Linked DNA regions of Ovis aries. The protein of the gene in region 2 purifies or fractionates together with the protein of the main gene of each other region. This does not show direct contact. Links are inferred from orthologs where the notes say so. Each region holds a gene or a part of one and is shown on either strand. Other genes may lie near its edges.

Region 1 (15,361 bases), on a different chromosome or scaffold from region 2:
GTATATCATAGGCTTCATTGGACTTAATTTTCTCCATAGGAATGCAACGGGCAATGGGTAGGAAAAATGTTTAGGAATGCATACTTCTATGAATTCTGCCGGGGGGAGTGGATTTGTTTTGTTTTGTTTTTTTACTGAGACTATTGAAATATTATTGACTTGTATTGAAAATCGCTCTTTGAGAACTTTTTAACCACTATACTGTGATTTAGACATCAAAAGACAGAGTCAGTCTCCACACTCGTGCCTTTATTCAGGCAGGTGTGAGCTTGGCTGGCAGCATACTTCCTTGGAAAGACTGCCTTAAGTTGGTGTTGTGTAGCTCTTTGCATTGACCTGTAGACCACTCAGTGACAATTGAGAGGGAGTCCAGATCAATTTCTAGGTACATCCAAAACCCTGTTCAGTAATCACAGGGTCAAGCATTAAGTATGGAAACATTTAAATTCTAAACAAATAAAAGACTGCTCAGGCAAAATATTGTATTAAAACAAATGTTTGTTTTATAAAATTGAATACCAATACTTAATCTGTTTCTTCCTTCCTTCTGCATATTCGAAGGAATTTGCAGACTTGGGTACAAGAGACAGACAGCAAGGCTTGCCAGTCTTGCTGCCTTTGGGCAACAGTGAAGGGTCTGGGAATGTGCAGGAGAGAATTGATACTGACCAAAACAAGAGTTTGGGGTTTTAATTAACCAATATTTCTGCTATCCCCTATGACTGCAGATAATTGAGAGTTACATGAAAGGTATGGAAACTTTGTGACAGTTTAGATGACAGATGAGATCGATTATTTGGCTGAACACATGTCACCCACTTGTACCAACCCACAAGTTGTCACCAACATGCTTTCCTCTTTATTTTGGAGGTGGTTTCAACATTTAGTTGTTTCTTAGGACTTTGGCTGCTCAGGTCTTGGTGGTATTACAAGGAGACTGCAGTTCTGGGCAACTTTAGCTTAATTGGCTTCAGATTTGTTGGTTGTCCTGCCTCCTCTGGAATGGAAATGCATGGGTGATCCCGTAATGGATACCGCTGTGATATAGTAGAATGAACATGGGATTTGGAGTCCCGAGACCTGGATTTAGAAAAGTCCATACTCTGTCACTTACTTTGTGACCTTGGGCGAGTCACCTGACTTTTAAAGCCTGTTTTATTACCCTAAAAGAGGAATGAATAATGATGCCTCACATCTTCATAATGCGATTGAGTGGGTAATGCATGAAAGTACTTCATGGAAGTATTAAATGTGAGATGTTATTCTTCCCCTTTAGTTTTATTATACAAGTCTAGAGAATGAGTAACAATGAGAGATTTAATGTATTCTGGGGAGGTAATAACCCACAGAATATTAAAAAGTGTCATAGTTAATTCATGGGAATTGCATTTCCATCGAAGTATTCCCACAATCAGGTTGGAAGGGATTTTGGTTGACATTTGTAACAGAGTTTGATATGGTAACACAGGGACAAAGTTGGTTTGGTCAACTTTGAAGCATGCAAAACTAAACTCGCCTGTCATCTAAACTGGCCCTGTGTGGGGCTCGCTTCTACTATTAAGTGCAGTCTTTGGGGATAGGTGGATATCCTCATTTTGTTCAAAGCTACATATAATGCTTTTGCAAAAAGCATTTTAAAATATATGTTTATAGTTGTGTTTGTCTTGCGTGTTAAATTACTTGCTTTAGTTTGGAAAATAGTGATAAAATGCTGGGGCCTTGTAAGATTGGAGTATTTTGGTTGAGGTTGGGGGTAGCACTGGTCCTTGTTTTCCTAAATTTATTGATGGTTTGGTCTTATTTAAAGCTAATTTTACTTGTATATCCAAGTTAAAATAATATTGACTCTGGTACATTTTAAATGAAAAAGCACATTATTCTCCCCTGTTAATCTATTTTTGGAATGTGATATTACTAGACTGCCATAAAGAAGAATAACCCCAGGAAGTACCTTCGCAGTGTAGGAGATGGAGAGACTGTGGAGTTTGATGTTGTTGAAGGAGAAAAGGTGAGGATGCTTTTTGTGTAAAGGTTTGACTTCAGTATGGAAATATTTTGGAGATCTCATCCATTAGGATGGTGGCTCTAAGGTGGATGGATGGGTCAGGTGACCACTTGAACACAGGTGCACCAACCCTAATGTGCTGGCTGCAGATAGAGGGCTACCTCTTCAGAACAGTGAGGAGCTAGTGTTAAATCATTTCTCTGCACCCCTGGCCACAGAGACCCTTTTGTACTTTTTGTGTGCGTTTTGCTGCGTGTCCTTAATTCCATTGTCACTATGACTATATGATGGCTTTTGTAGGGTGCGGAGGCAGCGAATGTTACAGGCCCTGGTGGAGTTCCAGTGCAAGGCAGTAAATACGCAGCAGACCGTAACCATTATAGACGCTATCCACGTCGCAGGGGTCCTCCACGCAATTACCAGCAGAATTACCAGAATAGTGAGAGTGGGGAAAAGAATGAGGGATCGGAGAGCGCTCCCGAAGGCCAGGCCCAACAGCGCCGGCCCTACCGCAGGCGGAGGTTCCCACCTTACTACATGCGGAGACCCTACGGGCGTCGACCACAGTACTCCAACCCTCCTGTGCAGGGAGAAGTGATGGAGGTAAACGGATTTTATTTCCTTCTAACTGCTGCTGTATTCAGACTTTTGTCTGGTTGGGGTTTGCGCTAATGTAAATGGAGTAAAATTTGGCTTGGTCTCCATTGCCTTTTCAGGGTGCTGACAACCAAGGTGCCGGAGAACAAGGCAGACCAGTGAGACAGAACCTGTATCGGGGCTACAGACCACGATTCCGCAGGTGCGGCTTGCGTTTAGAGTTGACTGGAGCGCGTGCTACGACTCGGCAACAGCATGCTGCTTCTGCAGGCTTTTTCAGTCATTTGTCTGTTAACACTTCACATTTTCTTTCATCAGATGCCTAAGAGGTGAACCTGAAGTCAGTTATCTTTGAGAATGTGTTCTTTGCATCTTTGCTGGCACTGGTTAAAAACAGCTTTATAGATGTGGTCTACTTTTTGCAGTTGGTTTTGTTTTTGTTTTACTCTAATGAGGGTATGGAATTTCCCATTTCTGTCCTTTAACAGGTAAGAGAATGGTAGTTTAAACTGCATTGTATTATAACTTTAAGACCTGATTCATTGGGAGGGAGAAAAGTAAAGGTAAGCGTACCTTTTTAACAGAAGGTGTTTAATTATTAGAGGAATTAGGGTAGAGCTTCACAGGCCAGATAGGTTTAATGCATATATGTAGTAAAAGGTCTTAGAATATTGAGTCTCCAGATGTGATCCCTAAAACTAACAGGTAGCATCTGTCTAAACCTAGACACAGATACCTTGTTGAAATACTGCAAACAATCACAATGTCAGCTCTTAAATAGTGATAAGTGTTTATCTGTGATAGTGATAAACGGTCTAAAATAGGCTTTCATACTCTGTCCCTTTAAATCCCGAGGGCAGTATCCTTGGTCTACTTCTTGTTACGTTGTAGAACTTTGCCAATTTTCTACCTATTTTCATTGGTGTGTTTAAAAACAGCACATGAATTTTTGTTGAGTGCTTCAGTTTTATTTAATGGTCTCATTTGAATATATTTATTATAATCTATCGATGAATGCAGGGCTTTCCAAACTATTTAGTCAGGAATTTTTTGTTTGAATAGTAAATGACACATGCTACTTATAATCCAGGGGGTGAAATGATTGATGCAGATCCAAGAGCAGATTGTGAGAAATCTGAGATCAGTATAGCAGGAGTTTTGCTGAAAGGAAGATAGATGAGGTGGCAGTAAAGGGAAAGGAATCATTAAGAAAGGATTTTTTTTGTTTGAGAAATAAGAGCTTATTTGTAGGCTGAAAAATGCAATTTTTAAAAAAGGGTACTTGTCAGAATTATCTGCTGCAGCTATCTTCAGTTAGGATTGGGTTTGGTCCATGCAATGGGATGTCTTTTGCTGGGAACCGTGGATGTTGCATGTGTAAAAAGCCAGAGTTTATGGGCACCAGTGTGTTGGTGAAGTCAAAAGGAAAGGGGTGAGAGGTTTGGGACAAATATGTGAAATTATCTGTAGAAGAGAAATAGCGGAAGTCAAGTAACAGTGATCACAAATTTAAAGTGGGTCCACCAAACATGCTTGTGCTTTTCCAGCCATTTTGAGCAGCAGCCTCAGATTAAGCAGAGTTAGATTTGTTCAGCATTTGTCTACTCAAAGATCCTGGGTTTGGGTTTGATGATAGTCATTAGTGGTAGACCTTGCACTTCCGAGAGAAATGAGAGAAGAGGATTAAGGCAGAGTTAAGGGACAGAATGATCGATAGGATTGTTGGATTATAGGTCCTAGTGGAAATAAGAGTGGGAGAAGAAGACTCCTGGAATACACCAGGAAAAGAAGTAAAGGGTGACTAGAGAGTGGAGTGCTTGAAACTGAGAGAAGCTAAGTAGCAAACAGGAGTTGCATGGGAGGCAAAGTGGCCGCCTCGTGCGAAGAGCTGACAAGTTGGAAAAGACCCTGATGCTGGGAGGGACTGGGGGCAGGAGGAGAAGGGGACAACGGAGGATGAGATGGCTGGATGGCATCACCAACTCGATGGATGTGAGTCTGAGTGAACTCCGGGAGATGGTGATGGACAGGGAGGCCTGGCGTGCTGCGATTCATGGGATCGCAGAGAGCTGGACACGACTGAACGACTGAACTGAACTGAAAGAATCTAAAAGCCCATGTTATGTGGAACTGTCGTGATAATTACAGTAGGAAAAGGGCAGTAAAATGGAACATGACGTTAAGATTTGAAAGGTGGGATTTTAGAATTCAAAAGGCTACAGGGGAGGGCCAGGGCAGTTTTGCCGAAGACTGGTCAGGAGTTCCCAGACACATGGGAAAACCGTTTCAGGAGAAGAGGTGGTGGGGGCTGTGGGGGGCGGGGGAAGTTGGGAGGGGTAGGTGGAAGACTAGAGGGGTTAGCGGTGAGAAATGGAATCGTAAATAGTTAGAGCTGGAATGACCTACACAGGTGTAAAGGCATGCTGGTAATCCTGGTGTTTAAAGTGTGAGACTCAGTGGATTTTAGTATATTCACACCAGCCCCTGGCTGCTGCTTTCCTTGTCTCTGTATTTGCCTAGTTTGTGTCTGGCTTTCACCTCGTGTATTTGTCATTCATGCCTTTATCATTAGTACTTGATTTCTTTTTATGACCAAATCAGGTTCCGTTGTATGGATATTACATTTTGTTCTTCGTTAACTTGGTTGATGGGCATTTGGGTTATTTTCACATCTTGTTGTGAATGTTAAAATAATGCGTGGTGGATATTGTTTTGGATACAGATCTAGAAGTAGAACTGCTAGGTCATTTAGTCTCCAAGCTGTTCTACAAAGCTGCTGCACCATTCTATATAGCCAGACCAGCCAGCAATGCATTGAGGGGTTTTTCCACCCCCTCCCCAGTGTGATTGTTTTCAGCTCTCCTGGTGTGTATGAAGTGGTTTTGATCTGCCTTTCCCAAACTAATGGTTGCTGTGTACTTTGATTTATATGAAGATAATACCTTTTCTCTGGTTTTGATTTCTGCTTTTTTTAAAAAAAACAAATGTTCATCTATAAAGTTTAGCACTTGTTTCCAAACCTGGTTAGTTTAATACCCATGTTTTTAAATAGCATTAGGGTATTGATGGTATTGTACAGCTTTAGTCCTTTCATGGCTAACTTTGGAATAGGTTATACTATGGGTATTTTGAATAATATGAGTGTGTTGTTCAGTCACTAAGTCATGTCCAAGTCTTTGTGGCCTCATGGACTGCAGCACTCCAGGCTCCCCAACCTTCACTCAACTATCTATGAATATATTGGGTATATATATGGATATATTGGGTAATATGAGACTGTTAAAATCAGTTTTAAACGGTCATCTTAGTTTACACTTCCAAATCCTTTTACCAAGTCGTCATACTCAATTTGTGAAGTAAAAACCAAGTTTACTCTTTCAGTTTTGATAAATTGCCTGCATACCACTTGATAAACAGAAAGAGCAGATGTGTTGACCTGGTGACTTGATTAAAGAAAGGTTTTATCATTGCAAGCTTCCACAATGTTCATTCCAGGGGCCCTCCTCGCCAAAGACAGCCCAGAGAGGACGGCAATGAAGAAGATAAGGAAAACCAAGGAGATGAGACCCAAGGTCAGCAGCCACCTCAACGTCGGTACCGCCGCAACTTCAATTACCGACGCAGACGCCCAGAAAACCCTAAACCACAAGATGGCAAAGAGACAAAAGCAGCCGATCCACCAGCTGAGAATTCGTCCGCTCCCGAGGCTGAGCAGGGCGGGGCTGAGTAAATGCCGGCTTACCATCTCTACCATCATCCGGGTAAGTAAGCCTCGATGGCCCTCTGGGCAGTCATGAGTGATGTCCATTAATGAAAGAGAGGAAAACCCAGTTCATCAGGTAAGGTAAGCCACTCAAACTTACAGTGTCTTCTACCCAAACTAATCTTAAGATGACTTGAATGTCATTTTGTTAATGGATTGTATATCAGAGCCATACTTTGGCCTAGCTTTGCATTGTATCTTTTGTATTAGGGCTTTTTTGTCAACTTTCTTGGATGATTTTAATGTAAGCTGGAGAAGGAAATGGCAACCCACTCCAGTATTCTTACCTGGAAAATTCTGTGGACAGAGGAGCTTGGTGGGCTGTAGTCCATGGGGGTTGTTAAGAGTCGGACATGACTGAGAACACACACAAACACCAGTAAGCTGAGGAAAGTCTTGCTGACTACAAGTAATTACGTTATGAGATTCTTCATTTTCAAAAATAAGTGGGATGGCTACTCAGATTAAAAACGTAGGTGATGATGACCAGGATGGTCTGTTTACGTGGTGGCTTTGGCATTACATCATCAATTCTAAAATTAAGAGGATTCCCTTTTTACTTGATTCTAGGAGACATGTATTTGTCTCTGTTTGACTCTAGAATTATCATTTTCAGCCAGTGAGACTTTTTCCCCCTATTTTGAGTGTCAAAAGGTCATTCAGAACCTATGAGTAACCATTCTTATTATATAGTAATGCCCACTCCTGTTATGAACTGCTGTGTAAAGGTAAACCAGTATGAGATGTGTTCCCTGCCTAGCTAATTTGATATACTGAAAGATTGCAGTGAACTATAGAAGGTAATTAGAAAACTTCTTTTTCTCTCTTACAGTTTAGTCATCCAACAAGAAGAAATGAATATGAAATTCCAGCAATAAGAAATGAACAAAAGATTGGAGCTGAAGACCTTAAGTGCTTGCTTTTTGCCTGTTGACCAGATAACTAGAACTATCTGCATTATCTATGCAGCATGGGGTTTTTATTATTTTTACCTAAAGACGTCTCTTTTTGGTAATGACAAACGTGTTTTTTAAAAAAAAAAAAAAAAGCCTGTTTTTTCTCAATACACCTTTAAAGGTTTTTAAATTGTTTCATATCTGGTCAAGTTGAGATTTTTAAGAACCTCATTTTTAATTTGTAATAAAAGTTTACAGCTTGATTTTTTCAAAAAAAAAGTCAACAAACTGCAAGCACCTGTTAATAAAGGTCTTAAATAATTGTCTTTGTTGTATATTTCTGCCTTGCTTTTTTAGTTTACAAGTACTTAGCTGGTTATTAACTTAAATCTCTGCAGATAGGTGATACTTAGTGGTATTTACTCAAGGAAATGCTCTTAAAATGTGTAATCATTTGTTGAGTAGCATACCTGTACTGAAAATTAGAATTTGCTACGATAATCTGGCCATTTTCCATTCAGTGAGTTCCTTTTACTGGGAGGCAGTGGTAAAGAGAGGGCATGTTCTAGTGGAGACTAACAGAACTGTGAGTTACTTCAGCCTGCAGATTGAAGGACACCCACCTTAGTTAGCAGATGTCTGCCGCAGAGACTGCTGTACTCAGTAAACACAGCTCAGCTCCTTTACTTGGGTACTAGAGATGGTAACCACAAATGATGGAATGCTTGTGGGAAGGCTGCTTAAAGAATATAGAGGTCAGTGACATTCATTTTGTCCTCAGCACCCTTGTAACATAAGCGTGTTCCATATTTTATAGTGTCTTACTTTCCTTTATGGAATAATTTGATGACTGCTATCCAGAGACATTCTGGACCGTTCTGGCCAGTTTTGGAGACCTTGGGGATATACAGTTGGCTAGAGAGGCATATCTGGAAGTCATGCAGTGCCGTGTGCCTGTTCAGAAGGGGCTTGGCATTCACAGAGCTGAGAGTTGATTTGCAGTGGTAGTTTTGGTTCAGGGCACTGGTGAATAAATTGGGAAAAAATAGGCAGGTAGCTGGGCTAGTATCAGTTAACACCTTGAAATGCCTTTTCTCAGTTTGGGACCAACTCTTTGGATGGTATGGACAATTGAGCACTGCTCATGGTATGTAAAATGTAGTGTGTTTTTTTTAACAGTTGCATGCATTAGGATATATGTTGTGGGAAATGATTTCAACATTGCTTATATAATCCAATAATGTAAGAATGTGATTTTGAAAACCATGGCAAGGAAGAAAGCTTTTTGTGATGTAGCCTTGCTGCCAGTGTTGCAGACAGAACATTGTTTTTCTCTTGTGTATTTTTCTCATGTCACCCAGCACCTCATGCTGAGTTCACTATGTATGAGGACTAGACAGCCTAGAGGGGGCGGTGGCCGCAGTCCTCTGCTGCAGCGACTTCCTCTGACAGCTCTGCCCTAGCTGCTTACCCTTGAGTCAGGCTTTCCCGCTGTAAGTTTGAATACCTCATGTTCCTGAAGAGCTGTGTAGCTGGAGCACAGGAAGATGGTAAGGAACTGAGTGCCAATTCAGTCAAATCAAGTTTGTTGTCTGTTATTATTCCTTTAAAATTCATTTAGGATGCTTTTGGTTTCTGTTGAAGCTCGTACTGGGTGGCCTAGGCAGTCAGGTAATACTTAAGGAATAGGTGATAGTGGTAACAAACCAGAAGAGCTTGTAGTCAAGAATGGATACTCAGTAAAGAGCGAAAATTTATTTCATATAAGAAATACAGTAGTATCAAAGAAATGCATGCAGAACTAAGTAGTAGCATTTTCCAAAAATCTGGGAGGAAGCAAAACTATTGAAAGATGTTAAAGCGAAATGAAGATTTACATGTTCATGGATACTAAGAATGATGTCAATCCATCTATACAAATTCTTTTTTTTTTTTTAATGGCATTTTTGGGTTTTAGAAAAGATGAGAGATGGGAGGTTAGAGGAGAGAAAAGGATGTAAAATAGTTGTCTTGGAGAATAGGAAAATAAGTATACCAAGAAAGTAGAACTGCCAGCAGGTAGAGGGTTGGGTTTCACCCGAGCTTGGCCAGCTGAATCCAGCAGAAGGGAAAAAAGAGTAAAGGTACAGAAAGCAAATGCAGAGGCTTCCCTGGTGGCTCAGTGGTAAAGAATCTGCCTGCCAGTGCAGGAAGTGGGTTCGTTCCCTGGTCTGGGAGGATCCCACGTGCTGCAGGGCAGCTGCAGCTCGCATGCTGAAATGCCTGGTGCCTGAACACTGGAGCCTGTGCTCTGTAACAGGATGAGCCAGCGCAGTGAGACGCCCATGCACTCAGCACAGCTAGAGAAAAGCCAGCACAGCAACAAAGACCCAGCACCGCCAAATAAGGCTTAAGTGAGTGCCAAGGTAAAGCTGATGCTGTTGTCCTCAGCGTCCACTTCCCGGGTCCCCAGATCTAGGAGGTGTATCCTTATTAGTGAAAGCCGATGAGAGCACATAGCTTGCTTTGGTGATTGAAATGAGTCTGTGAGCTGACACGGTTCCAAAGTGATCTGGTGGAGTAAAAGTACTAGTTAAGGAAGCTGGAAGAATGAGATGCTGGCCTTAAACCAACAAGCGTGGAGACCTGGGGCACTGGTAGTGACAGTTCAGGTTAAGATCACGTGTGTAGAAGACCAAACCGGAGGTAAAGGGGTCAAAAATAGACCATGGTGTTCAAAAGGATCTTGAGTGTTGAAATTCCCTCAGTGTTGATAGAAGTAGGTGTGGTGAAGGCCCTGGAATGTCAGGGAGTGCTGCTGGATCTTGAGCTTAGCTTGAAGGCATGGGCTTCAAGGAAGTTTGAATTTAAAAGTGGCAATGGTGTAATCGAATTAGCCCACCATCAGGCACCACAGTACTTTGGGTTTAGAAAAAGAAAGCCACTACTGAAAGCTCAAAAGAGTGTCCTCAGCACAAGTCTGCGGAGAGGTAGGCTAAGAACATTCAAAAAAGCAGCTAGTGGCTAAATCCACAGGACAGGGCAGGGCACAGTGGGGGTTTGAGAAGCGATACTGAGTCAGTAGAGGAGAGCTGATAGAAATTAAGGTAGTGGCACTGAATGGGAATTGAGCATCTGGCAGAGGTAAACAGGCAAGTATAGTTCATGACAGGCTCATTACTGAGGTTCTATAGTTTCACCAAGGCTGGTAAGGCTGCTTTTTGGCTGAGGAAGGAGCATTCGTTAGGAATTCTGCCACTCCCTGCTCTGAATGGTGCCTCAGATATTGGAGAGCCTGCTTAGATCCCTTCAGTCTGGCTGGCTGGCTTTTAAAAGTTATAAATGATAAAAAGTCAACCTGCATAAATACCTATCCAAGTGATGTTTAGCACCTCTTACTGGCTTGGGGCAGCCAGCTGTACAGCCCTTCTGTCTGGGTGATAAGGGGTCTGAATGATGTTTGTATATTATCTTTTTGGCTGGCTGTAGCTTGTGGGATCTCAGTTCCCTGAGCAAGGATCAAGCTTGAGCCCTCAGCAGTGAAAATGTGGAGTCCTAACCACTGGACTGCCAAGGAATTCGGATGAATGACTTTTAAATAGGATAGTTACCATTTTAAGTTACTCTGGGACAGAAAAATGGGACGTTGTAGAAGCCCAGATAAGATGAGACCATAGATAAGGTAGTAGGAAAAGGTCAAATTTGAGATGTTCTCAGAAGTTGCCGGTTTGAGGGGACTAGCTGACTGTGGAACGAGGAAGAGGGAAGAATCTGGCGATTGTAGAATGGTGAAGAAGATAGAGCTACTTGCTAGAACAGGGGCTGCACAAACGGGAGGGCTCTGTTTGCTTGCAATGTCTGGGGAATCCATAGGGAAGGTGTGGGAAGCAGATGTGAAGCTAAGGAGTGGGGTGTTGACCACCCATCAGGTGGCTTTTGAAAGCTGTGACTGGAGAATAGAGTGGAGCCCCAAAGATGTGAGGAATCTAGGAAGGGGAGCATCACGGAATCATGGAGAACCAAGAAGTGGTTCAGTGGGCATCAAAACCAAACAGTCCAAGAAGGGGGAGGCTGAAAAGTGTCCCTTGGGCTCAGCAGCAAGGAGACAAAGGGGGAGAGCAGGCTTGTGGAAGTGTGAGGGTGTCCCCAGACTGAGCAGGTGAGTGGTGACAAGGGCTGCTGCATGCTCAACCTTCCGCATCTCAGTAACAGTCCATCTATAGGGGTTCCAGCCAAAATCCTCAAGTCTCCTGACTTCTCACTTAAAACACTCCACATCCAACGAGTCTGCAGATCCTCTTGGTTCTGCCTTTGATATACCCAGCATCGGACCGCTTCTCACCACCTCTGTCCACAGGGGTCCAAGCCTCTTGTCTCTCACTTGGATCGTTGTATGTGCTAGGTGAGCTCCCTGCTACCAAATTTCCTGCCCCACCTGTCTCCAGCCATTTCTCTTAAAAACTGTGTCAGACTCTGGGTCACTTCTCTGCTCAAAACCATTTAGAAGCTTCCAGTCTCACTTTTCAACAAAAGTCAACACCCTACAGGAGTCTTCACAGTGGGCCCCACTCACATTTACTGCTTTCCCCCTGGTTTACAGCAGCCTCACAGTTCTCTTCCTGGAATGTGCCAGCATATTCCAACTCAAGACTTTTACTTTACTTCTTGACAGGAAGACTGTTTCCTCCAGGAACCAAATGGCTTTCTTCCTCTGTTATTTCAGGGAAAGATTAGGAAGGCTTTCCCTGACCACTTTTTAAAATAGCAGCCCGTCTGTGCCTACATCTGACCTCCCTGCCCTGCTTGACTTTTCTCCATAGTGCACATATATCATCATAGGCTAATCAATAGTGCATATTCTTTTTGCCAGAAAGTAGAGGGCAGAGATACTTGTTTGTGTTTTGTGTTTGCTTTTTCTGATATATTCGAAGATCTACAAGGGTACAGAGTAAAAGCTCAGTAACTTATTACGCTGGGAAGAAGTGGGATGACGGAAGTGAGAGCTGCCGCTGGAAGGGCAAGATAAGCTGGTAATGTTAGACTGATTTATGTGTTAGCCAAATAGGTGCTCTTGAGAGTGACAGGGATTGCCAATCACACTGGGATGAAAAGACTGCCCAGGAGTCCTGGTCACTCCAGAGATACCAAATTTGAAGGAAGAGTTTGTTTAGGATGAGGAGACATTTATGTGGGGTTGGGGGAGAAGGGGCCAAACAAGAAGAGCTTTGTGATTCTGTGGTGCAACCAAATGCCTTGTTTACCCTATGCATAAAATTCAGTCTTCATAGATCATTTTGAGACACCAGGATGAAAAGGTGATTTGCAGTCAGAAAACCTGAGTTCCAGTCCCACCAATGAAAGTAGAGGGTAAATAGTACCTACTTCCCAAGTTTCTTACGAAGATTAACTAAGAAGAATACCTTATGTTTTGTTGTTCAGCTGCTAGTGAAGTTGCTCAGTCGTGTCCAACTCTGAGACCCAATGGACTAACCTACCAGACTCCTCCGTCCATGGGATTTTCCAGGCAAGAATGCTGGAGTGGGTTGCCATTTTCTTCTCCAGGAGATCTTCCCCACCCAGGGATTGAACCCGGGTCTCCCACATTGTAGGCAGATGCTTTATTGTCTGAGCCACCAGGGAAGTCCTGTTCAGCTGCTAAGTCATGCCCTATTCTTTGCAACCCCATGGACTTCAGCATGCCAGGCTCCTCTGTCCACCACCTCCGAGGGTTTGGTCAAATTCATGTCCATTGAGTCAGTGATGCTATCTGACCATCTCACCCTGCCCACCCCCCTTCTCTTTTTGCCTCCAGTCTGCCAGCCTCAGGATCTTTTCCAGTGAGTTGGCTTTTGTCACCAGGTGGCCAAAGTATTGGAGCATCAGTTAGTGCTCAGTAGGCTGTTACTATAGTAATTTTAAGTATCGACTTGGATAGGAGCTCTGAACACTGTAAACTGAAATTGTGGTGGCCATGAGTATGACTTGCAAATCTGTAGCTGACCCAAGATGCTTTGCTCTGAAATCTGCCACCATGTTTGCCCTGAGGCTGTGCTTTGTAAGTGCTCCCAAGCCAATCAATGAGTAAGCTCAGCAGAGTTTCTAAAACAGTCCTGTTCCTGGAAGATACTGAACTCCTCTGACAGCTAACTGTCAGACTATACATGTTAGTACCATGCAGAATACCATGTTAGACTCCATGGTATTCTGTGATTCTTCAACCCAGTATTCCTTCACTTAGGCTTGATGAGCCCCCTACCCATTTTTTAAAGGTGTTTCCATAGTAAACGTCTTGCATTTTAATCCTGTTGTGGGGAGGGTGGGGGTCTACTGCTTGGAGAACCCAGACTAACATAAGCACCATAGGAAAGTAAGGAGGTGAGGAAGGATTCTGGGAAGATGACCGAGGATGAAGCACCGGGAATCTGTCCCCGTAATCTCAACAAGTACACTGATAAAATTGGTCTGATGTAACTTTTGAAGGCTTGCAACCTCCAGGGAAGACATACGGTAAACTGAGATTAATTGGGGATTTTGGTTCTTCATTCACCAGTGACTACCCAGCTCAGCCCTAAGGCATGCAATTGTTCTGGAGCTCCTTGCACACACCTTGCAGCAGCCAAAGGGAGCAATAAAGACCCTGTCCCTAAATACTGAGATTGTGTTCTGATTGTAGTCAATCGGCTGTTTCTCATCAAAGAGGTGCAAACACAGATAGCAGTCGTTGTTGGACCTACCCTCATTGTTGCAAGCCTCTCCCCTCCAGCTGAAGGGACTTTCAGAGGAGCCTGACTATATTCTCTAGTCGACCTCCACACCCCCATCCTGTGAAGTGAAGTGAAGTCACTCAGTCGTGTCCTACTCTGTGACCCCCATGGACTGTAGCCCACCAGGCTCCTCCCTCCATGGGATTCTCCAGGCAAGAGTACTGGAGTGGGTTACCATTTCCTTCTCCAGGGGATCTTCCTGACCCAGGGATCGAACCCGAGTCTCCTGCATTCCAGGCAGACACTTTAACCTCTGAGCCACCCTAGTTGCTGGCAACTGAAATAAAGCAAAATTTCCACCAAAAAACAACAACAAACTAGGCAAAATACATAATTTTTTAAGCTTTAAGAGATTGAAATACAAACTACTAGGCTAGGTCCAGGAGAGGATGAAAGTGTAGAAAAGTAAGTGATTTTCAGGGCTTCCTTTCCCCTGGATGTGTTTGAAAATCTAGGCGAGAGAGCAGAGCCTGGGTGCTTATCTGGAAGCTTAAGTTTGCTGGCCTGGAAGAGGCAGTTGAAACTGCTAGAGGGCCCACTGAGCATGTGAACCCTTGTGTATTACCCCGTGCTTTGAGTTGAGGACTTTGAATTGTTACCATGGTAGTAAATTAACCAACCCTCACATAGATTGCCACCTGACTTGGAGTCATATAGGGGCCCAGAGATCTCAAGCCCTAGACTTCAATAAAGGTGATCCTGAATTGCTGGTTCCACTGCCCCCCACCCCAGGCACCCGGAAGTAAAATATTTGTGGAAAATAGTATAATCCTAGGCTTTGAATTATTTCTATAAATGTTTTACAAATGCCAAATCAAGCATACATTCAAAGATGATTAGGTCTACAGGAGACAAGTCATCACGAACAAGGACCAGTAGAAGGCAGAAGCAGTAGACGGTGGAAAAGGCCCCACAGGTAGCCCAGAGGCCAAAAATATTAGACACAGAATGTAAAGCAACCATGTTTACTGCTTCATTAGATAAAAGACACTTGAAAATTTTAGGACGTGTTATGGGCTGAACTGTGACTCTCTCCAACCCAAATTCATATATTTAAATCCTAACCCCCAGTACTTTCCAGTGTGACTCTATTTGAACATAGAGTCTTTAAAGAGATAAGGTTAAATGAGATCATGGACACTAGGCTTAATCCAACATAGCTGGTGTCCTTATAAAAAGAGATTAAGACATAGGCACAAGGAAGGACCAGGAAGGCACCAGAAGAGGACAGGCTTCTACAATCTAAAGACGGAGTGTTCAGAGATAAACTAACTGCCTACACCTACAGCTTGAACTTTCAGCCTGCAAGAATGTGGGGAAATAAATTTCTGTTGTCTAAGCCACCCAACATACGTTA
Region 2 (16,257 bases):
CTTCACAATTCAAGAATAGGGCCTATAGTCTTGATAGATAAAATGAAATCATAGTAAATGCCTCAGAGATAGAACTTTCAAGTTCTCTTTTTTTTTTAACCACAATATCTATGTGGATTCTCACCCTCATTGAGGCAGTTGTCACAGATTTTCAGAACTGTTTTTCGACTATGGGTGTTAAACTTATGGGCCAAATACATCCTGGAAGTTTCTGAGGTTGGTTTTAAAATACTGCATCTCCATTCTAGCAAGATACTTAGATTTTCAGCTCACATATCCATAAATAGGCACTTGAAATGTAAACTCAGGGAAATAGACCTCAGAGATTGTTGTCAGTTTTTCAGTGAGATTAACCCAAGGGGTATTTAAGTCAAAGAAGTTGTAGAATTATGTACACACTTGTCTGATTTGGTCCTGGGCTCTTAAAATCCCGGGGACAATTATTCATTCATTCAGGAACCACACATTCCAACCCTTAATGGTGCTTACCAGGTCATCCAAGCCCACATCATCTCTTACTATGTTGGATTAATTACAGCAGTCTCTGTTCTCTTGACTTCCTCAACCCAGTAAGCAGCCATAGCGACCCTGCTAAAACGTTGACTCACATCACTCTTCTACTCAGAACTCAAATGGCTTCTGATTTGTTATAAATGAAACAAAAACTGAAACTGCTCCAAGGGCGCCTGAGGCCCTACCTGATCACCCCCATCCCCACCCTAGCTCTGACCACATTTCCTGCCATCTTTCTTGTACCCTGCTCTAACCAGGCAGCCTCCTAGCTAGTTCTCAGTTTCTTATCAGGCACAGGTCTGCCTCGAGGCTTTAATGCTTTCTATTTGTTCTGCCTAGTTTATTTTTCCCTGAGATAGCCACATAATTTCTGCCTTTATCTCTTTAAGTCTTTTCCTTGAGATCTTCCCAGACCACACCATATAAAATTGTATGTTTATTTTCTGTGACAGCTTGTCCTCCCTCCCTTCCTTTTCCACAGCAGTTACCGCCTTTAAATTTACTATATGTTTTATTTGCTTTGTTTTCTGGAGATTTTATTCCCCACTAGATTTTGAGTTCTGTGGAGGATAGGATTTTGTTGTCTCCCTGGCACATATGAGGTGCTCAGTAAATATTCAGTGAGTGAATAAGGCAGTCACTGAACTAAGCAGCGGTGGCTGGGGAAAGGGACAGTGGAGTAGGTAGAAGATTTAAGGAACTGGAGTCAGCCACAACTGATGACAGCTTAGTTGAATGGAAGTAGCGGGAGAGGATCTTTAATTTGGGTTGCAGAGTGCTTGGTACCCTTCACTGAAATGGAGACGATAAGAGGGGAGGTCAGAGAAGAACAGGTGGAGGTAGATTTGGTGTGAGGCATCTGGGCTACAGGACCAGAGTTGAGGAGTTTCTCAGAAACCATTAAGGTCTTGGAAATCACTGAGGGAGGAAAATGTGGGAAACAAATAAGAATAAAGTCTAGTGAGAGAGGTCCAGCATGTGACCCAAAACTAGAGGCCCAAACAGGTATTTGATAAAGATGGTGGACAGGACAGAGCCAGGCAGCGGTTGGGAATCATGGAGTAGATGGTCCAAGGAGGCCGTCCTAGAACTGCTTCCTCTGAGTTGTCCTTCATACCCGTCACGTCGTAGCAGAGAGTGGATGCATGCGTGCTGAGTGGTTTCAGTTGTGTCCAGCTCTGATCCCACAGACTGTAGCTCGCCAGGCTCCTCTGTCCATAGAATTTCCCAGGCAAGAATACTGCCATACCCTCCTCCAGGGGATCTTCTCAACCCAAGGATCAAACTCATGTCTCTTACTCCTGCATTGGCAGGCAGGTTCTTTACCACTTTCGCCACCTGTGAAACCCAGAGATCACCTGTGAACCAGATGAAATGAGCCTCAGAGGAAGGTAAAGGGAATACAGGATTTGAAAGTGGTATCAGGAACTGAGAGCCCTAAAAAGTACTGCTTCCAGGCCCTAGGTCAGGGCATCCTTCTATTAAGAACCACAGGGAAGCTCTCCCCCAGAGAGTCCAGGTGAATACTTCAGGGTGGCAAGGGGACTGTCAGAAGAGATTCAGGAAGTAGGTTGAGTTTTTTCTGTGAAACAAAGTTGCCAGAAGGTACAGAGAAGGGGGCTGTGAAGGAGAGGGGAGGAATAGAGGAAGTAATTTGAGGGCCATTCTAAGAGAGACTGCTGGTGCCAAAGAGTTAATCTTGTTCAGGGTTCTACCTGAAACAACTTAAAGAAGTTTGGAACCTTGGGAAACAGGACACTGGAGACGCTGCTGCTGTTCCCACTTCCTGAGAGGGCCGCATATAAATGTTATCCTCCATTTGAAGGAGCCTCTTGGGTGGTTAGTGCCATGCGTTGAAGGGATACCCTAGTTCAGGAAACTGGTGCCCAGGCTGGTTAATTCAGAGGCTCTTGACTTTGCATTTAAAACGGTGATATCCCTGCTGATAGCAGCCCCTAGTTAAAACCAGTCATGGAGATTTAAGCCATTGTTTGCTTTAAATTGTGCATAACTATAACCAAGTCTCACAGAGCCTAGGGTACAGCGTAGGTGTTAGTGTCTACCAACATACATATTTCTGCATTTGTGATACATGCAGTTAAAACTTCCACACGGTCCTCTTAATAAAAGCCTAGCTAAAGAGACTTGTGTGTCTTCTCCACAGGATACCACAGCTGTACCTTACGCATTTCAGGATGATCCTTACCTCATCCCGACATCCTCTGTGGAATCTGTGAGTATTTTTAGGTAACTTGGCAAGTGTTATGTTTTACCTTGTTGGTTTGGGTGACAGGATGACACATATGACTTATTTTACTTGTAGACACCTTTGAAAAGTTCATAGAGGCTAATAGATAAGTTGGTAGATTTTCTGATTCCTTTACTACTTTTATCAAAAAGTTTTAGAGATTGGCTATGGAGAAGGTATTTGGTTTGGATTTTTAGTACTTTGAAATCTTTCCCACTCTAGAGCAATTCACTCAGTTTAAAGGTATTGTTTTTACACACCTCAAGCTGTATGTAGGATCCAACCTGAAATCATGTCACATTCAGCGGAATAATAATAATAATTAGGTAGTTTAACTTGGAATTCTGTGTATTACAGTGTTGTTTGGTTGGGGCGGGGGAGGGCAGAATAATTCTTGCTGAGGGTATAACTTTGATCTAAATTATATGTAGTATCAATTTACGTCTTTTTCTTTATACAGCATTCATTTTTGTTGGCAAAGAAGTCCGGAGAGAATGCAGCAAAATTTATTATTAATTCATATCCCAAATATTTTCTGAAAGACATAGCTGAGCCTCATATACCGGTAAGGAGAGGTAATTGCAGTTTTCGGATAATACTATGTAAATATAAACTAAGCTGTCACAACTAACGTTTCAGTAGCCATTTGAATGTCTACAGTATTTGGGTCTAATATTATTTCACCCAGATAATATTTACGTCTTTTAATATTTATGGTTATCATTGCTCACTGTACTCACCTTTATTATCATTTTTAAAACTACATGTATTTGCTCTTCATTTTGTTTTCTTCATTTGACTTCTGCAACACCAGGCTCTCAGATCTTTACTTCTGACTGCCCTTTCTGGTTCCCTTAGTTGATTTTCCATCCGCTCCTCAAACCTTGGTGTCTTTTTCTCAGGATTCCGTACTTGGTCACTCTCTTTTTTTTCTCACTGTAATCTTCCTGCTTCACCAACCCTTATACTCCATTTGGCATTCTTGTATGTTGGCCTCAGTGTCTCTACTTTGGACTCCAGACACTTTTTTTCCAGCCCCCTCTGTTCTGTGGGCTTGAGGGGTGAGTGTGGAGGGCCTGCTGGGTGTTTGGCATTGCACTTAGTGGGTCCCACAGTGCTCAGCTGAACATGGGCTCTGCCTCTGAGCTAAGTAGTGGAAATAGTAACTCAGACTCATTGTGTCTAAAACCGCTTCCTCTCATATCTCCCTACTTTGTAAGCGCACACACCCAGCCACCCAGACACCCCTTGTGCTTCTCAAACAGCAAATCTTAGGGACAAATTAGGACGTCAGAGTGATTGTGTCCATAAAGGTTGAAATCCTGAACGAAGACAGTGACAGCAGTGGAGTGACCATTTGTAGGGCCTGCTCTCTCCCCTCTATGTTTCTGACCAATAGTTACTCTTCTGTGTGTAGTTCACTTCTGCTTGAAGCCTTCCCTGGGTCCCTAAGTATTTGAATAATTTGGTGAGTGAGGTAAAATCAACATACCTTGGTAATACTGAATGTTTACAGTAAAAGAAGTTATCAGGGAGGGAAGGTTTCCGTCTTTACAAACTAGATATACTGTGGAACCTTCGGCCAAGATTGAGAGGAAAGTAGGAAGGGTGGTTTTAGCAAGGGAAAAATAGTAAGTTCAGCTTGAAATTAGGGGATTTAGTTCACTGGGAACTAAATTCACTGGGAAAAGTGGAGACTTTTAATTCGTTAGGCTGTAGTTCTTCGATATGGGATTCTTCAAATACAGACTAAATATTTATAATTAGGAGCTTTTAAATTCTTTGCCCCAACTTAGGAGATCTCTAAGTAATCTTGTTTTGGTGACTAGAGAGGTAGAGTTAGATTCCTTAAAGAGACATTCATGTTAAAATGATAGGTGGTATCTAATGCATGAAGCATGAATATTATGGTGTGTTAATCAAATACTGTGGTGTGTTGTCTTACTCTGTTGTGCTTTCCCATTGACCTGTTGGCACTGACTTTAACCATCTTATTTTCTAGTGTTTAATGCCTGAGTACTTTGAACCTCAGATTGAAGAAATAAGTGAGGCTGCTCTGCAGGAACGAATCAAGCTCAAAAAAGTCAAAGCTTCTGTGGACATATTTGATCAGCTTTTGCAAGCAGGTGACTAAGTTCATTTGAAGCCCCCAGGTTCATGTGAAGCTCCCCTGGGAATGTGGGCGTGGAAGTAGGCCACAGTTGTGCACGTGATCTAGACAGTTGTGAGTACGAGTTAAAAGTGCTATGCTTCTTCCTCTGCTTGGTAGCTGTTTTTATATTTTTTATAGTTTAGGAAGTCATATTTCAAGTTCTGCTTTAGTGTCATTTTAAAACTGGGTAGGATAGAGTTGTCCTTGCCCGTGTGTTGTCCTCTTGTGCAGGTAGAGAAATCTTACAGCCATTCTTTCTTAGCTTCTGTTTTTAACATGAGGTTTGTTCATACTGTATTCACATTTCTTACATTCTTTAAGTACGTGTGAGAGGCAAAAAACAGACTAGAAAGAAATACTTAAAAAGGAAAGCGCACTAAGCTGCAGGATCAGACGCTTGGGTAGGTTCTGGCACTGATTAGTGCTGTAGCCTTGAAAAGCTCAATTCCTTTAATCCTTCTGTCTCTCAAATCCTGTGGCTATCTGAATTTGATGTGGATGAACCTCTAGGGGTTTAGGTGGCAGGGCTTGTAAGCTACCATGAGATGAGAATATACCTAGAGTAGCATGAAGGCAGCAGCATTGCTTAAGTTTTGGAATCTGGTATGCTGGTCAGTGGTTTAGGATAAAAATCAGCCAAACATTCAGTCCAGAGAGAGAAACTGGACTGAATCACTCAGTATAGTCTTGAATATGGCAAGAAACATTTTCAGAAAACTTAAAGAATTTTGGTGTGTAGCCTGTTAAAGCATCAGGTGTACAAATGAATTGCTGATGCAGATTGTCATTTAGGGAGGCTTTTTCCTCTGCTTGTTGAATATGATAAACATCATTATATTAAGACTTGTCTTCCTCTGTCTTACACACTGTGTGGTGTAGATGCAAGCAGCTGTTCAGTGAACCTTAGTAAAGACAGGGTCAGAGCTGTAACACTCAGCTCATTCAGAGTAATGGAATGAGTCGACATACTAGGAGAGGAAATATAGAAAATTTCAATATCAAGGCCTAATAAGTGCCAAGCACTTTGTAGGCATTTAATTCTGTAACACCTTATGAGTTGGTGTGCTTGTAGTCGTTTATAAAGGAAACTGACTGACTTCAAGTAATCTTCAGGGTCACAGCTTTGAGATGCTATGAGGCAGTCAGGTTACACACCATCACCTGTTTCCCCTCCACTCTGTCTTTTGTCTTTTCTAAAGGCTTTTAAGTTTCCTGATAGCCATTTGTATTATCAGTATATTTTCTTAAGAAAAATTCAGCTACTTTTCTTTTTAAAGCACTAAATTCATACTGCTTCCTGTTCCCTTTTCTCCCTCTTGATAAGTGTCAAGTTGGGAACATAATGTTTGAAACAGTAATTTTTTAAAGGCTGCTATCTCTAGGCATGTATTTCAGCGAGGGCCTGGATCTAAGCGAAACAGTCCGATTGCGTTTGTGAAGACAGAACTGGGCCCTGGGGGACTACGTGGCAATCATTTCCAGAGCGTTCATTTCGAAGGTGATAGGTAGAACTATGAGAGGGTTTCTCTGGGAATATGAGTACATAGAATAAATGAGCCCAGGGTCAAACTTGGCTCTGGTATTTTATCTCTTCTGTCAGACAGCACTGTTAGGGATTCTGTGTTATCTGCATCACTCCAGATGTTTAAGCTGATGTGGGGTGCAACTCGCCCTTGGAGAATGGAATCCAATAGGCTTTAGTTCTTTGATGTTTGAAAGATTCTCCCCCTCACCCTTTTTTTCACCACCCACAGGAACCACTGTATCTCTGGAAACAACTAACAGTCTCTTGGATTTGTTGTGTTACTATGGAAACCAAGAACCCTCCACTAATTATAATTTCCAACAACAGGAACAATCAGAAGAGTTGGTAATGATTTTTTAAAGTTTCTTTTGGTAGTAATTCTTTCTCATTTTAAGGTGATTTCTTACGCCTTATGTTAGAGATTTGTGCTGAGGTGTGATATAGCACAGTATGTAGCCTGGACAAAAGTTGATGTGGAGGAAGAGATGGATTTTAACAATTGTTTTACCCTGGTTCCCTCCTTAAAAGTATTTTGACCTTGCCTGCCACATGCAGAAACCAGTGACCAGAAATGTTTGGATGGGCCCCTTTGTTGTTGTTTCTCAAAGTGACAATATGTTGTATATGGGACAGAAGGGAACACCCCTGGCCCCAGCCCTCTTGAAAATTCATGCATATATAGGCAGGGTCTCCTTTTTACCTTCTACCAAATCTTTATTTCCTTTGCTTTTCTGAAATTTCCTCTGCCTTACCGGTTCTGAGTAGTATAGCTTGGAGAATGCTTTCCGTTGTCGTATTCTGTTTTATATCTGTTGGTGATGGCTCATTTCAGGAAGAGGGCGAAGAGGGGGATAACGTGAAGTCTAAGAAGAAGGCTGGTCACCAGCTTGGAGTTACTTGGAGGTATGTTACAGGATAATTAGAACGTTTATGGATCCTTACGGTTGTGGAATGTTCTCCGTCACCCCCTGAAGAAGACACAACCCTGTAGTGTTCTAAAATGCAGTTTGTTCTCTGTGTGCAACGTAAATGTCACCGTTGGTTTTCATGTGTTTGGGCCATTTTTTATTAGATCTTTACTTCCAACCAGCTAGAGGTACAGGACTGGTGTTGGTTTCTTTTTTTTCCTCCCCCGCCTAACTCCATGTAACCGTCATGGTATGGTTCTTTTGGTAGTTTCATTAGTAGTCCTACCTTGCACTATATGCCTCTAACTCTAAAAAGGTTCAGAATTTTAAAAACTATGTTAGAATACACATATGTCAGAGCGTAGTTCTAAATTAAGACGGCTGGCTAACAAACAGAAGTATTCAGTACCGAACAAAAGATAAATATCATTTATGTAATGATTCAGGATTCAAATGAACTGAGTAAAACTGTCTAAAAGAAAGGTATTTCGTAAGGGTGTCTGGAAAAGGAAAGCTACTGTTAATATCAAAATGAGTGAATAGAAAAATTAAACTTCTTCAGTAGATACTAATAATTTCTTATAGTGGTTGAGAACAGGGACTTGTGAGTACCATTTTGGCCCAAATGTAGGCTCTATTTTCCAAGATGTGTTGGAAACAGAAAATGAAGGTGCAGCGTGATTTGTATAACATAGCACGTTGACTGACTGACTGAAAGAGCCAGATTATATAAGCTAGAATAGGACAATGGATTCTAGGGCACCACATGTCTGCGGTTGCCTCTGATTATTTATATCCAGTTGAAAGAGGGTGGAGGAACTTCACTGTGTACCCTGCTGTGCAGTTTGCTTTTTATTTATAATGCTGAGTATATATTCGGAGAAGGCAATGGCACCCCGCTCCAGCACACTTGCCTGGAAAATCCCATGGATGGAGGAGCCTGGTGGGCTGTAGTCCATGGGATCGCTAAGAGTCAGACACGACTGAGCAACTTCACTTTCATGCATTGGAGAAGGAAATGGCAACCCACTCCTGTGTTCTTGCCTGGAGAATCCTAGGGACAGGGGAGCCTGGTGGGCTGCTGTCTGTGGGGTCACACAGAGTCAGACATGACTGAAGCGACTTAGCAGCAGCAGCAGCAGCAACCAGATCTCCCTCTCTGGGTGGGAAGAATTACTTGAAATTATATGCAGAAAATGCTTGGAACGTTGCAAATACTCCATGTGGTAGCTGTTACTGGTTTTATCTGTTTCCACTGGTTCACGTTTACTCTTGTGTCTAGAGCCAAAAACCATGCTGAGAGAATCTTTGCTCTGATGCCTGAGAAAAATGCACATTCTTACTGCACAATGATTCGAGGAATGGTGAAGGTAACATTTGTTCTGGATAGTTGTATGTTTTTGTCTTTAATTTCTACTGAATCGGGGTTTCTCAGCCGCAGAACCCTTCACAGCTGGGCCACATAGTTTGTTGTCGTTGGGGGTTTCCAGAGCCTTGAAGAATGTTTGAGAACTGCCTCTACCCACTTGATGCAGTAATTCATCCTCCCATCCCCCAGTTGTGAAAATATAATTCTCATAGTTGTTTTTTCATTAAAATAAGATACACTTATTGAAAAAAAATTATTAGGAAAAAGTTTTTAAAAATTGAAATCACTGCATTGAAGTAACAGGAATAGAAACTGTATTATACCACACTGCTCATTTAAAAGGAAAAACACTGTCCATTCTGGTCTATCCTTTTACTTCTAAGAACAGTAGATATGCAAATATTTATTAAAGACAACTTTTATGGTGTTTAATTTTCATCCTTTCCCTCTTCCAGCACCGAGCTCATACACAGGCATTAAGCTTGTACACGGAACTGTTAAACAACAGACTGCGTGGTGAGTTGTGTCTGGAGAATTCATCTCTGTCCTTCCTTTCCTTCTCATATGTGGGCGTGTGTGCGTGCTCAGTCATGTCCTAGCTCTGCATGCCATGGACTGTACCTTGCCAAGCTCCTCTGTCCATGGAATTTCCCAGGCAAGAATACTGAAATTGGCTGCCATTTCCATCTCCAGGGGGTCTTCCCCTCCCAGGGACTGAACCCGAGTCTCCTGCATTGGCTGGTGGACTCCCTACCTCTGCATCACCTCTGCATTCTTACCTGTGTATCATTGTATCAGGAGTGTATACAATCGCAGGATTTTGCCTTAATGATTCGCTCATTCTTAATCTTTTCCTCTGATGTTGGTGATTGAAACGAGAATCCAGAGCCAGAGAAAAGAGTGGTTTTCTAGTTTTGTGGACTCATGTGCATGACCACTTGGCCTTTAATCACTGACCCCAAATTTTGTTAAAGTAGTTTTCTTCTTTTATAGCTGATGTGCACACCTTCAATTCATTAATTGAAGCAACAGCATTGGTGGCGAATGCGAAATTTGAAGAAAAGTGGAAGAATATATTGGTAAGGAGGAACCCTCACTTTGGCTACTAATAGGCCAAAATATCCTTTGCTGGGAGTCCTGAAATGCAGGAGACACTAGTTCATTCCCTGGGTTGGGAAGATCTCCTGGAGAAGGAAATGGCAACCCACTCGAGTATTCTTGCCTGGGAAATGCTAGGAATAGGGGAGTCTGGTGGGCTACAGTCCATGGGGTTGCAAGAGTTGTACATGACTCACCTACTACACCACCACCAACCGCCATCCTTTGCTCGGAGTGCATGGGGTGGAGAGAGCATTCACTGAGCTTCTTTGTGGTGGTCATCTTTGCACTGGGCACTCCACTTGCAGTGGCCTGTTCATACCCTTCTAGCAACCCTTAGTTTAATTAGCTGTATCTGACATGTGACCCAAGCATACAGCTAGAATCCAGGAAGATCAGTTTGCTATATTATATTCATTTATTTCCTTATAATAGTGTGGGGTTTTTTTTATATTAAAACATTTATTGAAAAAAATTACTCGGAAAGTTTTTAAAAATTGAAATCACAGGAACAAAGTAACAGGAATGGAAACCACACTATACCATTCATTGTTGTCCAGTCACCCAGTTGTGTCCAACTCGTTGCGGCCTCAGGTACTGTAGCCCGCCAGGCTCCTCTGCCCATGGGATTCTTCAGGGCAGAATACTACAGTGGGTTGCCGTTTCCTTCTCCAGGGGATCTTCCCGACCTAGGGATCGAACCCGCGTGTCCTACATTGGCAGCTGGGTTCCTTAGCACTGAGCCACCAGGGACGTGCATACCATACCATACTGCTCATGTGAAAAGGGAAAAACCAGTCTGTTCTAGTCTCTACTTTTGCTTCAGTCTTAGACTCTTTAGGCCACTAGAGACAGTTGGACACGGACATCACATGGGGGTTAGAGTGACTGTTGAAAGGGCCTTCTCTCAGGGGCACTAGATAATTCTTAAATGGGGGGCTTATTTATTAATCTGCTTTAAACATAGGCAGACAGCCCAATTCTTTTAGTGTGTTCTGTTAGTTTATTGGACAAATTACCCACCGGGCATTAAAAAAAATAATACTCCTGCTTTTGATTCAACTAGGACCTGCTGAAACAAATGGTTGCACAGAACGTGAAGCCCAATCTACAGACTTTTAACACTATCCTCAAATGTCTCCGAAGATTTTATGCATTTGGAAAATTGCCAGCCTTACAGACCTTCCGGGAAATGAAAGCCATCGGGATAGGTGAGGGGTGTCCTCATGTCCCCACTGGAGGCAGTGCTGACCTGAGGCTTCAGGTCCAGGTGATCCAAAAAGAGACTAAACTTTTCTGTGCTGTTTACATAATATGGTAGGAATTTCCTTTCCACCATTAAGCACACTTTTCAGTGATGTATATTTAGTATAATGGGAGCTCTTCTTTATCATCTTTTTGCTGCTTATAGTAAATTACACTCTTGGGATTTTAGATACTTTTTAATGGATTTCTTGATTCTAGGGAGAATTGTTCACTTACAGTTGGCTGGTTTTAAAATCTCGTGACATTTTCTGGCATAATTAAGTATTTGAACCCAATTGTGTGCTAGTATGTTGTATATTTTTCAGTATTTATGTTATTGAATCAGTTCACTTCTATCTTTTAGTGTTCTTAAATGAAACTCACAAGAGTATTGACTGTAATGTTTTAGTGATAGGTGTCTGGACTTTCTAAGAGGAATGTGATCTCTATGACACCTTTCCACCTTTACATTAATCACATCAGCTGGGAAATGTCTTTGTTCAGAGGAACGGAATGCATCTTCTACTTACATAACACCACTAATGTTTTTATTCACAGTAAGCTATATTTTGTATAGCTGTGTTTGACATTTCTTTTTTTTTTTCTTTTTTCTATGTACCTGGTAACATAAGAACCCTCGCTTGCAACATATCATCATATTATTCAGCTGTTTTATCAACATGGTATGTATGTATGTCATTATGTTATTTATGTAGAGATTAGGCTAACTTCACTGCTAATGAATAAAGATTGGATAGTTCACAGAATAGCGTTGTCTATAGCCTGAGCAAAAAGTTACTCGTGCGGGTACTGTCATCTTTTTGTGATGTAAAACTTAAGTCGGAGTGGAGGAAGGTCATTAAATGTACTAACGGGTAGTATATGGTTTTGGCCAGAAGGTACTTGAGTTTGGAATTCCTTTTGCCCTCTAGAACTGTGCTGTCCGATACAGTAGCTACTTAGCCACACGTGGCTATTTAATTAAATTCCTTCATAGCATTAGTGCTCAGTAGCCACCTGTGACTGCTGACTGCATCGTCAGTGATACAATTATAGAACATTTCCGTCTTTGCAGGAAGCTGTTGGATAGTCCTGCTCCACAGTAAACATTATTTTGAAGCCTCATGGGAGAACTTCAAGGCTCCATTTGTTACCTAATTTTAGGTCAGCTGTGCTCTATTGAATGGATTTTGGAGCAAGGCACACCTGAGTTGAAATTTCATCTCTACCATTTACCAGATGTGTGGGAAGGGACTGGATGTCTTACCCAAGTGATGCCATCACGATGTAATGATGAAATGAATTATGTGTAGTGTCCCGTTCATGTTTGGGAGGCATGTAGTAAGTACTGTAGGTTCTTAGCCATTTGCCCCAACCTGCGAAACAACCCTAGGTATAGAAATGACAGTTCCAGTCTTTCTCTCCTGCAGTGGGCTTTTTGTGTGAAAACAACAGAAAATCTTTATTTTGGAAGGGTAGTTTTGCAAAATTCACATTCTCACACATAGGGAAGTAGGAGCTGTTAAATGACTTTATCTTGAAAACAGGTGAACTGTTTCCACAGTAATTTTGTCATCTAAAATTTTACTAAACTTTGGTGGTATTGTACTGCTACTACTAAGTCACTTCAGTCGTGTCCGACTCTGTGTGACCCCATAGACGGCAGCCCACCAGCCTCCCTCGTCCCTGGGATTCTCCAGGCAAGAACACTGGGGTGGGTTGCCATTTCCTTCTCCAATGCGTGAAAGTGAAGTCACTCAGTCGTGTCCGACTCTTAGCGACCCCATGGACTGCAGCCTACCAGGCTCCTCCGCCCATGGGATTTTCCAGGCAAGAGTAGGTATTGTACTAAAACTAAGTAATTCTCACCCTAAAGCCTATTCCACTACTACATCACACATCACCTTGGCTAACTAAAGTCACTGGTGCTTGTGTTTCCTAAGTAACACCCAGGGTCATAGGGGCAGGAGTGTCAGTGTGTCTTAGGGATATAAATCGATAATTGTCTGTAATAATAGTTGCTAGGAATTTACCCAAAGGAAAAAGCCTAAAATAATGAAGAGATGATACATATAAAATAGGCTATTAGGAAATAGAATAATTAGAACAGTAACAAGTGCAAACATCCTTGAGGAACTAGAAGTACATCTGTGCTGTCACTGAAACTATATTATCACTTGCAGGTGCATAGGTGGGGAAGGGAATATAGATAAATAATGTGAAATGTTCAACTGGAAATGTCACAGATACATTTTGATTCTATAGTTTTCTGTTTCTTGGCTCTCATCCTGGTTATATTTAAAAGGAGCACAAATTTTTATTAGCAAAAAACATGTTTGTTTTCTAAGTAGGCAGGCTTGGTGAGGGTGTCCGTCTGTCTCCCATTTCAGTGCAAGTCCGCCTTGTGAGGAGACTAAGAAGGAGGGGCTGCGTCTGTTGGGAGCGCTGTAACTGACCCAGGCCTTGGGGAGAGCTGCACTCAGCAGAGGGTGCTCTCATTCCTCTCACAGGGATATGCTTGGCCAGCTCCATGGCTTGGGTGGAGGAATGAGAAAGGCAGCCTTAGGACTAGTTCTGCCTACCCCATGGAAGTGCGGGAAGTAGGCTCCTGAGAAAACCCAGTTGCCTTCTTTTTCTGCAGAAAGCCCTTCAAAAGGATCATCCCTCATCATCTATGATATCATGGATGAAATAACGGGAAAGAAGTTTTCTCCAAAGGACCCCGATGACGGTACGTGCAGAAATTGCTGCCGTAAGACAGCCAGCCTCTTTTCCTGACTGGGGTTATAGAGCCTTGTGATGAGGATGGGGTTTGATTTAGTTTAGCCATCTTTGGGTGGTTATTCTGAGAAAGCAGAGTGTCAGTGGCTTGTGCTGTATGTTGCTTCTCCTTGTGTTTTCATTCTTTTAGGTTTGTCCTACACCTTACCAGTTTTGTTGCCAGGATTTTTAATTAATGTTACTGACCTGAAAACATACTTTATGCATAGTAACCAAGGCTCTTCTGAACTTTGATTTTTCAGATATGTTTTTTCAGTCAGCCATGAGGGTTGTAAGTACCATTTCTTGCTTAAAACTTCTTTTTTCTTTTATCCATTTCCTAAATTCATCATTGGTGGTTGGGAGGACTCTCCCTGATTCGTTCACTTCCTAACTCTTGTGTTCATGTCATTAGTCCTAATTTTTTATTCCTCTAAAATCTCTACAAAATCACAGCATTCCTACCCTGTGTGGATTGTGTTTGTTGTCTTTTTTTATACCTTTCTTCAGATAAGGTTTCAGAGTATTTCATATTTGCCTGTTGTTAACTTATTAGAGTGATGGTTATATCTAGTTTTGTTTTTTCAGCTTATCGTGCTAATCGTAGGAAACATTTTCAAGCAGTTTCAGAATGAATTTAGCAGCCTTATTTCCTGAGGATAATTGCTTTGCTACTTAGTGTGTGTCTTTCTAGGTTCTCTCCTCTGGGTGTTCAGACATGCATGTCCACACTCATTTCCGTGGTGTCTTGTTTGTTGTTGGCAATATAGTGTTTCATAGAAGGGAATGACTTGTTGTTGGGTGGGTTTTGGAGTTATTTCATGGGGATTTTTGCCAGTATAGTGATGCTAGAGATAGCACTCCATCTGTCTTAAGCATGACATCCCAAGTGTTTTTGTCTAATACTACATATAGGTGTAATCACTAGATTAACATCATTTTGTTTTAAATTTCACTGAACTTGGTGATTTTATCCCTACCCCCAATTTCTTATAATTCACTTGCTGTCAGTCAGTAAAATGTTAAATCAGTATACGTGTTTCCCCAGGTATCTACTTTCTTGCTTCATGTAGGGAGCCACCTTTGGCTGATAAGGATCACTGAGTGATGGTTATTTACTACTTCTACATTTTCAGTGCTCTTCTCTCAGAGATCTAGAACTTGCTTACCAGGTCCATGGCCTTTTAAACACTGGAGACAACCGGAAATTCATTGGCCCCGATCATCGGCGTAATTTTTATTAGTAAGTATATTGGAAATATATCCTTCGCATTAACGGAACACCTGTATGCAACTAGTGGTCAGTTCTGCAGGTGGGAGACTTGGCAGTCTTATTTTAGGCAGCATGATCCTGACTTTAACGATACCAGTTACGTGAACACTTGGAAGGTTCAGTGGTAAAACTGATTTGTCAAACTGAGGTGTCCACTGTGTATCTTTTAAGCTATTTGTAACTTTAAATCTGTGTATCTTTTCCTTCTGCTGTTCTGTGCTTATTCTCTATCCTGTCAGACTTTTTGCGACCCCATGGAGCCCACAGGGCTCCTCTACCCATGAGGATTCTCTAGGCCAAATACTGGAATGGGTTGCCATGCCCTCCTCCAGGGGAATCTTTGCAACCCAGGGATTGAACCCAGGTCTCCCGCATTGCAGGCGGATTCTTTACCCTCTGAGCCACCAGGGAATCCCAAGAATACCAGAGTAGGTAACCTAACCCTTTTCAAGGGGTTCTTCCCAATCCAGGAGTCGAAATGGGATTTCCTGGATTGCAGGCGGATTCTTTACCAGCTGAGCTACCCAGGATGCCACACTGTCCTATTTTATATTTTCAAATTCATAGCAGGGTGAATCCCTGAAGATTTCATCTTAGCCTCTCTTGTTTTTAAAGATGTTGGAGCCCAAAGAGACTCCTTACATGGGTTTGCTTTTAGGCAGATAAAAACAAGAATGTAAGAAGGCAGCCTGTTCATAGGTGCGTGGTGGTTCCCTTCCATGTGTCCAGATCCTCTCTTCACATTGAACACTTGTTGAGTAGTATCCTCACTCCTCTCCACCACGAGCTGAGAGTGTATGGCGTTGGCATCAGTGACCAGTTGAAGATAAGTGTCAAACTGGAAAGTCCAGAAAGCACAGTTAGCAGCACCTCCTCGGTCACGCATTGAGCTCTGTCACTTGAAATTGTAACATAAATTGTCTTTAAGTTCTGTGTAATATGTCATTATATGACTGTGCTGTAATGTAATCATTCCCCTACTAGGCAGGGATTTTAGACTAAACCTGTTTTCTTTCTCCGTCACAGTTCCAAGTTCTTTAGTTTGCTTTGTCTGATGGAACAAATTGATGTCACCTTGAAGTGGTATAAGGACCTGATACCTTCAGTAAGTGATTCATGACTTAACATTTGTAGATGTTTGTGTGTGTCTTAACATCATTGTAGAT

What was found.
Region 1: the proteins of PTCD3 (region 2) and YBX1 purify together in Homo sapiens (co-immunoprecipitation; 4 studies listed by BioGRID and IntAct, with this or other methods). This does not show direct contact. The link is inferred for Ovis aries from reciprocal best matches to the Homo sapiens genes PTCD3 and YBX1.

What each region holds. Positions count from the first base shown.
Region 1 is NC_056054.1:17,195,829-17,211,189, forward strand, and holds the end of YBX1 (Y-box-binding protein 1), read left to right. Parts: intron 1-1,918; coding exon 1,919-2,008; intron 2,009-2,305; coding exon 2,306-2,608; intron 2,609-2,721; coding exon 2,722-2,804; intron 2,805-6,097; coding exon 6,098-6,332; 3' UTR 6,333-6,363; intron 6,364-7,197; 3' UTR 7,198-7,583; downstream 7,584-15,361. UniProt on the Homo sapiens protein: DNA- and RNA-binding protein involved in various processes, such as translational repression, RNA stabilization, mRNA splicing, DNA repair and transcription regulation.
Region 2 is NC_056056.1:58,029,418-58,045,674, forward strand, and holds part of PTCD3 (small ribosomal subunit protein mS39), read left to right. Parts: intron 1-2,677; coding exon 2,678-2,746; intron 2,747-3,221; coding exon 3,222-3,326; intron 3,327-4,763; coding exon 4,764-4,887; intron 4,888-6,667; coding exon 6,668-6,783; intron 6,784-7,270; coding exon 7,271-7,341; intron 7,342-8,628; coding exon 8,629-8,716; intron 8,717-9,170; coding exon 9,171-9,231; intron 9,232-9,708; coding exon 9,709-9,794; intron 9,795-10,879; coding exon 10,880-11,024; intron 11,025-11,690; coding exon 11,691-11,741; intron 11,742-13,699; coding exon 13,700-13,789; intron 13,790-14,081; coding exon 14,082-14,110; intron 14,111-14,954; coding exon 14,955-15,061; intron 15,062-16,117; coding exon 16,118-16,196; intron 16,197-16,257. UniProt on the Homo sapiens protein: Mitochondrial RNA-binding protein that has a role in mitochondrial translation.